Linked DNA regions of Kluyveromyces lactis. The protein of the gene in region 1 interacts with the protein of each later gene in a pairwise test. Links are inferred from orthologs where the notes say so. Each region holds a gene or a part of one and is shown in the gene's direction. Other genes may lie near its edges.

What was found.
Region 2: the proteins of STE20 (region 1) and BEM1 interact in a two-hybrid assay, tested with the Schizosaccharomyces pombe proteins (2 studies listed by BioGRID). The link is inferred for Kluyveromyces lactis from reciprocal best matches to the Schizosaccharomyces pombe genes shk1 and scd2.
Region 3: the proteins of STE20 (region 1) and HSL7 interact in a two-hybrid assay, tested with the Schizosaccharomyces pombe proteins (2 studies listed by BioGRID). The link is inferred for Kluyveromyces lactis from reciprocal best matches to the Schizosaccharomyces pombe genes shk1 and skb1.

What each region holds. Positions count from the first base shown.
Region 1 is NC_006038.1:1,190,813-1,194,531, forward strand, and holds the start of STE20 (mitogen-activated protein kinase kinase kinase kinase STE20), read left to right. Parts: upstream 1-779; coding exon 780-3,719. Other genes in the region: putative ubiquitin-protein ligase UFD4, read left to right, coding at 1-18. UniProt on the Schizosaccharomyces pombe protein: MAP4K component of the MAPK pathway required for the mating pheromone response. Phosphorylates histone H2B to form H2BS10ph. Phosphorylates tea1. Required for skb1-dependent mitotic inhibitory function. Regulates microtubule dynamics and cell polarity.
Region 2 is NC_006041.1:2,076,728-2,080,485, reverse strand, and holds BEM1 (phosphatidylinositol-3-phosphate-binding protein BEM1), read left to right. Parts: upstream 1-1,498; coding exon 1,499-1,507; intron 1,508-1,725; coding exon 1,726-3,444; downstream 3,445-3,758. Other genes in the region: putative ubiquitin-specific protease UBP16, read left to right, coding at 1-1,081; KLLA0_E23343g (uncharacterized protein), read right to left, coding at 3,724-3,758. UniProt on the Schizosaccharomyces pombe protein: Required for mating and morphogenesis. Interacts directly with scd1 and with cdc42. May bridge and facilitate scd1 and cdc42 interactions.
Region 3 is NC_006039.1:1,374,733-1,378,490, forward strand, and holds HSL7 (protein arginine N-methyltransferase), read left to right. Parts: upstream 1-1,175; coding exon 1,176-3,512; downstream 3,513-3,758. Other genes in the region: protein kinase MEC1, read right to left, coding at 1-11; cyclin-dependent protein kinase regulatory subunit CKS1, read right to left, coding at 420-818; KLLA0_C15851g (uncharacterized protein), read right to left, coding at 3,592-3,758. UniProt on the Schizosaccharomyces pombe protein: S-adenosyl-L-methionine-dependent protein-arginine N-methyltransferase that can catalyze both the mono- and symmetric (type II) dimethylation of the guanidino nitrogens of arginine residues in target proteins.

The sequences.
Region 1 (3,719 bases):
GCCTTCCTATTGTCATAGAATATGTATATAACTACATAGAGATGTCTGTAGATCTAACCATACTCCACCCTAACTAAAGATTTCAATACCACATACTTTCGTGACATGTGACAGGATTTACTCTTTGGGATTGGCGAAAATGTTGAAACTGAAATTTAAAGCTTAAGAGTTTAAACAAACGGAATGTAAAGATCAGATGGTATGCATGTTTATAAGCAGATTAGAGAAACGAGCAAGCTCAATTGTTGCTTTAACTGTGGCTTGTGTTAGAACTAGGTTTTAAATTTTATTAATCAGGCTATCTCTGCCGATTTGACAAGTATTTCAGAGAGTAATACCAGGTAATACCATCTTCTTTTGGATCTTTTTAATAACAAGCACACATTATTTGTTTGTTTTGGCGAGAGTGTGATTTTAGCAATCAAAAGACGTTCGTTACACTGAATTACACAACAGGCTCTCGTTTTTAAGTTAGAAGGAGGTGAAGGTAGAAAGAATTTTACAGAGCACGTTTTGTCATTTCTTTCATTGTTTATCTGACTTGATCTTCTATTCTTTGAACAAAGTAATCTAGCTTTTTTTCTGACAGAAATTAACACGGCCACAGCAGGCTTTGTTACTGACGGTTGTATGCTCTAGAAATCATTACAGACCTGTTTGTGTTTTTCGGAATACCTTTCCTTTTTGTTCGGTCGATAGAATTAACCACAAGACATCTTTTGACACAGGCCTTTTTTTTTTGATAGAAGCTACTACACTCACTACTTTGTCTCCATATAATGACGGATACTGGATATACTGAAGAATTGTTACCAGGCACATTTGATGCGCTTTCCGTGAGAGAAAATGGTGGCAATACAGAAAGTGACACCAGTAGCATACGCAAAAGTCAAAATCAAGATTCAAAACAAGAGGATGTACATCGTGAAAATCTTTCAGTACAAACTCTAGAGGATCATACAGAAGTAACGGAGACTAGGGAACAATCTGTCTCAAAAGATCTCTTTGATTTACCTCGTGCACCAGCGAGTTTGGATGTGAAAGGATTACAAGAATCAGACGAAGATCATTACGTCAAAGACCTTTCAGATTATAAATCTATGGATCCAGGGAAACCGGGCACCGTACCAACAAATGTTTCGGAAATTTTTAATAGTAACCAGCCAACTTTGGATGAACCGATACAATTTACAAGAGTCTCTTCCAGTTCTGTGTTAAGTGAAAGTATATCGGAAGGTGATGCAGATTTAATATCGCATCTAGAAGGAAAAGTGGAAGAAGGAAATAATTTGACTTCGAAGGAGACGCCAGGGACAATTGAATCTATTGTTGGAGATAAGACGATGTCAACTATAGAAGGTTCCTCCCAAAATATAGGTAGAATATCTACTGGCGGGAGGATGACACCTGATCTCTCTCTTATGGGCGGGGCCCTGGAAACTTCTTCTGACTTCCTAAATTCCACACAAACCTCAAATTCTCCAAAGATTACAACACCTATAACTGAAGTTGATGCCAATGATGTATATGAGTCCCCGCTAAATGAGATATTATCATCTACAGATAGTTTCAACAAGGCATCGACAGCGTCTGCAGATCATTCGAAACACGTAAGTGTGCATGAAGTAATACCTGAAGAAGAACCACATCCAGAAACAACAAATGAGGATCCTCCAATTAAAACTCCCGTAATGGTGAATAACTTTTTCGAAAATCAAACACCAGTATCAGAATCAAGATCCCCCTTCAGAACCATTTCTTCTCCGTTTTCTTCTCTGAGGAAAAACGTTAAGAGTCAGCATGGGACGCCTGACCACTCCCAGAGGAATTCTAATTCCTCCACCTCCTCTAATGATGTTAAGAGGAAGACCGGTACTAAGAAGAAAGGTGTTTTCTCAACATTCGTTCAAAACATCAAGAGGAACTCACACTCAGAGAAAAGAATTTCTAGCGGAAGCGGTAATGGAAGTGGAAATAATGCATTTAAGATCTCTACTCCTTATAATGCTAAGCATGTTTATCATGTAGGTGTTGACTCCAAAACAGGGGAATATACAGGGTTACCAAATGAATGGGAGAAACTTTTAACTTCCAGTGGCATTAGTATGAAAGAACAACAGCAACATCCCCAGGCTGTGATGGATATTGTAAAATTCTACCAAGATGTTACTGAAAACTCTGGAGAAGAGAAAGTCTTCAAGACTTTCAAAGTAGGAGGTGGCTCTGGTGCAAACATTGCATCTACACCTTCTTTCAGAACCCCATCAACTGCATCAGTACAGAAGTTCGAAACTCCGCAAATGCAAACAGATGCAACTTTTCCGAATGAAAACAATGATACCCCATACTCTAGTAACTTACAGGGTCCGCTGCTCACTAACGATTTCAGTGAAACTGTGAACAACGAAAAGTTCATACCGACTCGGCCTGCTCCAAAACCTCAAGGTTCCTCCACAGTTAGCCGTAGGGTCGAAATCCCTTCACCAATCAATTCGCTTGGCCATGGAACACCAAAAGTGCAAAGAAGTGATACTCAGTCATCAAGCATTTTCTCATTCAAGAAGATGCCAACATTGAAAAGTGAGCAACCATTACCTCCTATTCCAAAGGCTGCAGAAAAACCAGCAAATTTATTGCCTGCAAGAGCGGCTCCTACTCCACCAAAACCTGCAATTCCTACAACACCGGAACAATCCTCAATACCTGCAATTCCTTCCGGGCTTGCTGTGGAAGTGAAAGAGGAATCGAATACTTCTAATGTCCAGACAAGAAAGGCCCAGGAAAAAAAGAGGGAAGAGAGGAAAAGAAAGAATCAACAAATTCAATCAAAATTAACCGAGATTTGCACAACAGGAGACCCAAGCAAACTGTACAAGAATCTGATCAAAATCGGACAAGGTGCATCAGGAGGAGTTTACACAGCGTATGAATTGGGCACAAATGCTTCAGTAGCAATAAAACAGATGAATTTGGAGAAACAACCCAAGAAAGAGTTAATTGTGAATGAAATTCTGGTCATGAAAGGAAGCAAACACAACAACATTGTTAATTTCATTGATTCATACCTATTTAGAGGTGATTTATGGGTTGTCATGGAATACATGGAAGGTGGTTCGTTGACTGATGTCGTTACGCACTGTATATTGACTGAAGGGCAAATCGGTGCCGTCTCTAGAGAAACACTCAAGGGTTTACAGTTTTTGCATTCAAAGGGAGTCATTCATAGAGATATTAAATCAGACAATATTTTGCTATCCATGAACGGAGACATCAAACTAACAGATTTCGGTTTTTGTGCTCAGATTAACGAGGTAAATTTGAAGAGAACGACGATGGTTGGTACTCCGTACTGGATGGCCCCAGAAGTCGTATCAAGAAAAGAATATGGACCAAAGGTTGATATTTGGTCTCTTGGTATTATGATCATTGAAATGATAGAAGGTGAACCACCATATCTGAATGAGACACCACTAAGAGCTCTATATTTGATCGCTACCAATGGTACGCCAAAGCTAAAGGATCCTGGAAATTTAAGTCATAAAATGGCTATGTTCTTAAATTGGTGTTTAATGGTTGATCCAGAGGACAGAGGAACCGCAGCAGATCTTCTTGAAGATCCATTTATCACTGAAATTGCGGAAGAGAACACCTCCCTTGCACCGTTGGTTAAACTGGCAAGGATGAAGAAACTAGCAGAAAGTATGGAAGATGATGAAAAC
Region 2 (3,758 bases), on another chromosome or scaffold:
TTACGAGAAAGGTGGTATCAAGACGTCAGAAATCAAATCCACCATTGTCAAGAAAACTGTGGTTGTTGATTCGCCAGATGTTTTGATTCTTCACTTGTCGCGTTCGGTTTTCGACGGGATGGGATATCAAAAGAACACCTGCAATGTTTCTTTCGAAGAAGAATTGGTAGTCAACCGCCAAGTTATTGAAAACAATAAATGTGTTGGCATCAGAAAGGATTCATATAAGTTAAGGTCGATGTTGAGGCATCAAGGTTCTCATTCTACCGGTCACTATGAATGTTTCAGACACAAACCAGAGTTTATGAAAGACATTGATACACATCAAGTCATTAGCAAGACACCAATGGTGGACTTCGGTATTGCGTCGAATAAACTTGCAGCTGAAATCTGGAATCAGGCCGTTCTGAACTCCTCTAACAAATCCGATTCTTGTTCAATCGGCTCGGAAGATTCAATCTCCTCTAACGTGCCATTCAGATCTGTTTTCCTGGACTCACCAAACTCTGCGATTGTTACTGATGATGATTACGTTATTGGAAGCTCAGAGTTCTCTAACGACGCAGATAATAAGGGCCAAAACAACAACAGTGGTTCTGGAGTTTCAAGGACGCCATCCACTTTGAAAAGAGTCACTGGTTTCCTTTCGAGAAAGAGTTCTGTCTCGGCAGCACCGGATAATAACAATACTAGCAATATACTACCTGAAATTAGCAGTTCACCCATGGCTTCATCATCTTCAGAACATAGAAACCGCGCAAGATTTAACAGTGTCTCTTCTATGACGACTGACCGCAACGCTTCGATATTATCTAGTAATGCTAGTATCGACTCTTACAGTACAGATCAAGTTACTAATACAAGTGCTACCGAAGTGGAAACTGAAACAGATTATGACGGTATTTCAATGAATGTCAACAAGAAGACAAAGAAAAGAAGATTAAAGAAATTGAAAAGTGTGGTGAAATACCCATGGTGGAGAATATCTGATACTAAAGTTAAAGAATATAAAACTTCAGATATTTTATCAGAAACTAAATTCGTTTATATGTTGTACTATGAGAGGGTACCAGTAGTCTAACCTGGTCAGTAAGCAAATACTGGAACCAACATAACAACAACCAAAAGAATAAGAAAAAATAGAAACATAGACATATTTTACTAAATTGCACAAGCGGCACCTCACCGCTCCGAATCATTCATCCTTTGTCAATTAACTCATCGATTTATGATGACCACAGGCCATGTATTACTCGATTAATTAGTTTTAGCACTTTTACGTTAACCTTATATACATATACTGTACGATCTTTAAATTTCAGATCATGTGACCTCTAAAACCCTTCTAGAATGAAATTCTTCCTTTCCTTCTGCGGGTTGATGAAGCGAGATGAAAAAGGATTGACATGAATAAAGAGACGAGTTTCAGGAATTCATAATAACAGAGTTGATAGACGAAAGCTGCAACACAAAGGCAAAGGCAGTCAATAGTGGGAAAATGTTGAAGGTATGTAATAATGCGCGTGGTATTGTCTTATGTTTGGCAATTTTGACGTAGTAGCGGAGGATTTCTGACTTTGTTAGAGGCTGGAAAATTTTTCTTTACTGAAAGAAGGTAACCACATGAATATTGCAACGTGAAGGCAAAATACTAACATATACTATGATCATTGGTTGGTGATTAAATTGAACCAATTATCTAATTTCTGGAAATTTTTGGAATAGAATTTCAAATTGAAGAAAGACAGTGTGAAACAGCGCATAACTTCTGCGGATATTTCCGGACCTACTCAAAGTCCAGGGAGCTCAGTGCAAAACGTAAAGACCATTCCTATCAGGCAATTATCTACATCATCACAGCTATCTTCGGGGTTTACAAGTGGAAAATCAAAAGATATCTCGTCTCCAGAAAAAGTAATCAAAGCGTTATACAATTACCAGGCACAATCAGCCGGTGAATTATCATTCAATAAGGGAGACTTTTTCCATGTTCAGCAAGAGGAGAACGATTGGTATGAGGCCTCCAATCCGGCGGACGGCAAGAGAGGCATGGTTCCTAAGAATTATTTCGAGATTTTTGGCAGAACAAGGCCAAATTCGCATGCATCACCGGTGAAAAGTATAAATAGAAATGGATCTGTCGGTAGTAATCAGTTATTACAGCATCATCAGCAGCAACAGCAGCAACAGCAGCAACAACAACCTTCCAATATGGGAACTCTTTATGCAATTGTACTGTATGATTTTCAAGCAGAAAAGGCAGATGAGTTAACAGCCTATGCCGGAGAAAACTTGTTCATTTGTGCTCATCACGATTTTGAATGGTTTATCGCTAAGCCCATTGGCAGGTTGGGTGGTCCCGGTCTAGTTCCTGTTGGTTTTGTGACTATTATAGATATAGCTACTGGTTATGCCACGGGAAATGATGTAAAAAGCGATATCGAATCAGTGAATCTACCCTCGGTCCAAGAATGGAAGATCAATATCGCCCGTTACAAGGCTAGCAATATCACACTAGGTTCAGTGGAACAGCAGGGTCAGTCGTACGTGCAACACCGATCACAATCCAGGCAAAATTCACAAAACCGTCAACCACACCCCAGCACGCAGCACTCGAGCGCTGCCAATACAACCTATCCTGCTGATGCCGTTTTCCTTACCTACGCTGCAGTCGAGACATTTTTCCTACAGGACGATAAGTATTGGTTCCAAGTCTCGTGTCAGTTATCCAACAACACCACGCGTATTTTGAAGCGTTATTATGAAGATTTCTATGATTTACAAGTAAAGCTACTCGATATCTTCCCTGCAGAAGGGGGTAAACTAAGAGACACTAATGGTCAGTGGACGAAACGTATAATGCCATATATACCGGGTCCAGTTCCGTATGTGACAGATACCATTTCAAAAAAGAGAAAAGATGACCTAAATATATACGTGAAGGATTTGATTTCCCTACCGCCGCATATATCACAATCACATCTGGTCAAGGGTTTGTTTGCCGTTAAAAATAATGGTTTTGACCGTGAGATTAGTAATGATGAAACTGTGGAGCTTGACGTAAAAGGTAGGGCTGATGATTCAACTCTGACTAACCAAGAACTACAACTTCCAGAGGCAATGAAGAGACTGTCTCTGATTAATAGCGCTTCCAATGCCAGTGCTAAAGTCAAATCAAGGCCGCCTAGTGGTTTCGCTCCGAGAATAACTGATGAAAAGCCTGTCAAGATCAAATTTTATTACAAAGATGACATATTCGCCTTGATGCTGCATCCTACCATTACTTTTGAAGAATTGTGCAGTAAAATAGCACCTAGAATTGACGCAGATTCTTTTAAGTTGTACATCAAAAACGGAGATGATATTGGCACTCAAGTCACTACTGATGCAGAAGTACCGGTTCTAATTCAAGAGAAACGCAAGATCTTTGTCGATGACAGCTAAGTTATTTGTTGCAAAATTTTATCGTCATAATAAATAATACAAAAAGAACCCCAAGGTGGTCAAAATTCAATTTCTATCCACTGATGGCTTTCATGCTTATCATAATGATGTACTGTACATCGCATTGTAATACTTCAACATAATTTTGACATTAACACTCTTATATTCTTTCACATTAATTCAGTTCAACAAGTAAAAATCAGTTGTTTACATACTCTCTCTATAGGTGTTAATACTTCTATCAAAATGATAATAATACTTCACAAACATGTCTAAGGACTATTCATCCAGCTCTATGTCCATGTCTGCATCCG
Region 3 (3,758 bases), on another chromosome or scaffold:
GGATTATCCATTTCCTATACGCTGAGAAGATATTACTCTTACACGGCAACTGCACTCTCAATCACACTCACCTAGGACGCCCTAACGAGAGAAAACTGTGTTTCTTTCATAGTCCAGCGTTTGTTTTTGGTTAGTTTCATTATTTATAATTTGACTTATATACAAATTTTGGTATCAATAAGGAATCTCAACACATACATAAATGTGGTATGTACATATGCTAAACACTTCTCCAGAAGTACAATTCAGGCGTCTTAAGCCATTTGCAAGTTTGACAACAGAAGACTAACTTACACAAAGTGTGCAGCCAGGAATTGCAGATCTTTGGGGAAACATTATTCTCTCTTATTAACAGTGTAACGCGTAAAACTGGAATACGATTTTCTTATTATTTCATTTTAAAGTCTTTAGTGGGTAGTTCATATATTTTGACTTTGTTGGCCTGCAGCAATTGATTTTTGCTGCTGCTGTGCGGCAGCATGCGCCGCACGTATTTCAGCCTCGTAATTCAGTGGTCTCTTAAATAGTAAAATATGTGGTTCAGGCGCATGGCATTCGTAATGTTCCCATCCCAGAGATTGTGTAATTCCTAACCCTCTCCATTCGTCTTCTGTTAAGATTCGCAAAGTACCAGTGTCTCCGTTGAAATAATCAGAAGGTATCACTTTTAGCATGGCCTTGGGAAGCATTACATGTCTGTATTCGTGTGTATCGTCGGAGTATCTTGGTGAATAATGAATGCTATCTTGAAATTCGAGAACTCTCGTTCTTTCCTGATCAGAAAGCTTTCTGCCTTGGAAAGCGTGCGTCGAATACATTGTTAGATTCGATCACAACTTAAGCTATACAATTGGAGTGTTAATTAACCCTAGACTACTGATGCTGGATCTTATTCGCTCATCACATATCATGTCTTTAGCATAACTGAAAAGATCTTAGGTATTAAAATAGTATTGTTTACAAAAAAAAAATGAAAATAAATATTGTTTAGGACAGAAACCAGATCCGTCACTATTGATGGTCAGAGATGAGGTAAAAGAATAGGACACAGAGCTATCACTGGTGTAGTGTCTACCATAATTACGGTATAGCTGAAGAAGGGTTTACCAATAAACGTTTGACTGTTGTTGTGAAACTGTTCTGCGTGCTGCGTTTGTGTGTTTGTATGTGCTGAAATGGCAAGTCGAAGTAATGTTTTCGTCGGGATCAAACCTCACAGTGAACATTCCGCTGATGTTCTTGGAACTTCTTCTACAGATAAAAGAGTAGAGAATTATGACTATGTGCTGCTGCCCTTGACAAATACCAGATACAAGGATGCCATGAAGGCCAAGTTTGAAGATTTTCGAGATCACGGTCATGGATGGAATGAAGAACTAAAGTTAGATCCTCCTCAATTGCAAGAGCTGGGGGTATTGCCATCTAATGGAAATGTTTCATATATTGGATTGGTCTCTTACTTTTTAGAGCTCGAGAGCCATGATGCTGATGTCCGGACTTTATCTTTGCAAGTGTTGGAGCACGAATTGCATTATGCAAATTTCGTTGGAATCAGACAGGTTATCTTAGCTCCTCCTAAAAAGTTACACACGCTTCATTACTACGCACAATCTTTGTGTACAGTATTTGATACTTTTAAAGAAGCGTGTCCGACAATATCTATTTCGTTACCTTTGTTTGAAGATTCAGATCCACTTTCGACTTGGGAACTGTGGAACACGATCAGGAAAATGTGCGGATACGAGCCTAAATTGACTGTATCTCTAGCTCTACCTAGACAGAAGACTCCCAGTTTTGTGCTAAACAGATGGCTGAGCGAACCTGTCACATGTCTTTTGATCTCTGCATCCATATTCACAACAAATCAATACAATTACCCTGTATTGAATAAATTTAATCAGCATTTAATCACTGAGTTCCAACGTGTTAACGGTAACGCATCAACATTTGGCGAACTAGCTATCGTTTTACATGGTATGGAGAAATACACGGATAAACTCAAAATTGAACCTACACAGTACCTAGAATACCTCAATTATTTATTGAAAAAGGGAGATAAGCTCATACTAATGGAGACCCAAGATGTTGTCCACAGTGCACCTACAATCATGCCTCCGCTACTACCCCATCATGATAATCTTTCGAATGCAGTTTACCAAGTTTTCGAAAAGGATACTGTCAAGTACGAATTATACGAGAGGGCTATCATGGTCGCTGTATCTGAAATTTTGACAGAAAATTCGTCCAGTTGGAGAGGCCCTACAGAACTTATCACATTAGTTGCAGGTGCAGGCAGGGGTCCATTGGTGGATAAGACATTCCAAGTGTTACATAAACTTGGAGTAACCAACTTCAGGCTATTGGCTATCGAAAAAAACCCACAAGCACTTCTCTATTTACAGAAACGCAACTTTGAACACTGGGACAACAAAGTTGAAGTTATCCGTACTGACATCCGAGAATGGGATGAAAATATTAAAGTCGATCTCTGCATCAGTGAACTTTTGGGGTCTTTCGGCTGTAACGAGTTATCTCCCGAATGTATTGCTCCAATAGAAGCTTTCCATTCAAAACCTAACACAAGGTTTATTCCTCAAGGATATAGTTCCTATGCGTCTCCTATATCATCTCCAATTTTATACCAAAGCCTCATTGAAAAAGGACCAGAATATCTCGAAAAACCTTCAATAATTCACAATGTTCCATATTGCCGTACATCATCCAGAGTAAATGAAATATGGTCATTCTCACATTTGCATCAACAACAGCATCAATTTAACAAAAGTTCAATATCCCACTTTCGAGTAAAGCATAAAAGTGAAATTCATGGTATTGCTGGATACTTTATTGCAACATTATACGGAGATATAACCTTGAGCATAGTTCCAAATGACTCTGTCATTAAAACTTTAGAAGATCAGGAAAATTCTAACATAGATAACTCCAGAAGCCATAACGGATCAACTGCCACTAAAGTGAATCATACGGAAAATATGAAATCATGGTCACCAATGTTTTTCCCCTTGAAGGAACCCTTGTTCTTAAATGATGACACTGAACTTGAAGTATTCATTACTAGAAATGACTTAAATAGCAGAGTTTGGTACGAATGGTCTGTATCATCATTTGTATACCTTGTGTCAAGTTCGGAAATACCAAAATCCGAAGGAGAAAGAGTACCCAGAACTGGATCGAAAGAAAATGCTGATATAGATACTCAGAACCTGACTAAAGCCTTCGCACGATTCGGTCCTCAGAATGACTCCTCAGAAATAGAAGACAAGTATTTTGAAGACTCAATCAATCATACCAATTTCATGTCAGGTAGAACAAATGAATGGGATAGTGTAAAAGACCTGCATGAGATACAAAATAGACATGATTCATCTAATCTAACTAAAGATCAAGAACAACGGAAAAAATCACTAACAGAAGAATATCATGTCAGAGTTAGGACTAATATTTCCAAATTGCATAATCCCAATGGATGCATATATTCGATTCCTCTATAAACAAGGCATTTATAAAAATCGAAGCAAACTTTAACCATTTAGTTTAAATCCGCATATCAATAAATTATTTACTTAATGTTCACCAAGGATTTTCTGTAAGTTTCATTTCATTAGAGGTCCAAACTGCATGTGCAGCGGGTTTTGGTTCGTCCATGTCTTCAAAGGCATTAGATGACACCTCAAACTGATTATCAATTTTGATCTGGTCATGAATTTCGTCTATTTCATCTTGTATCGCAATTGGTA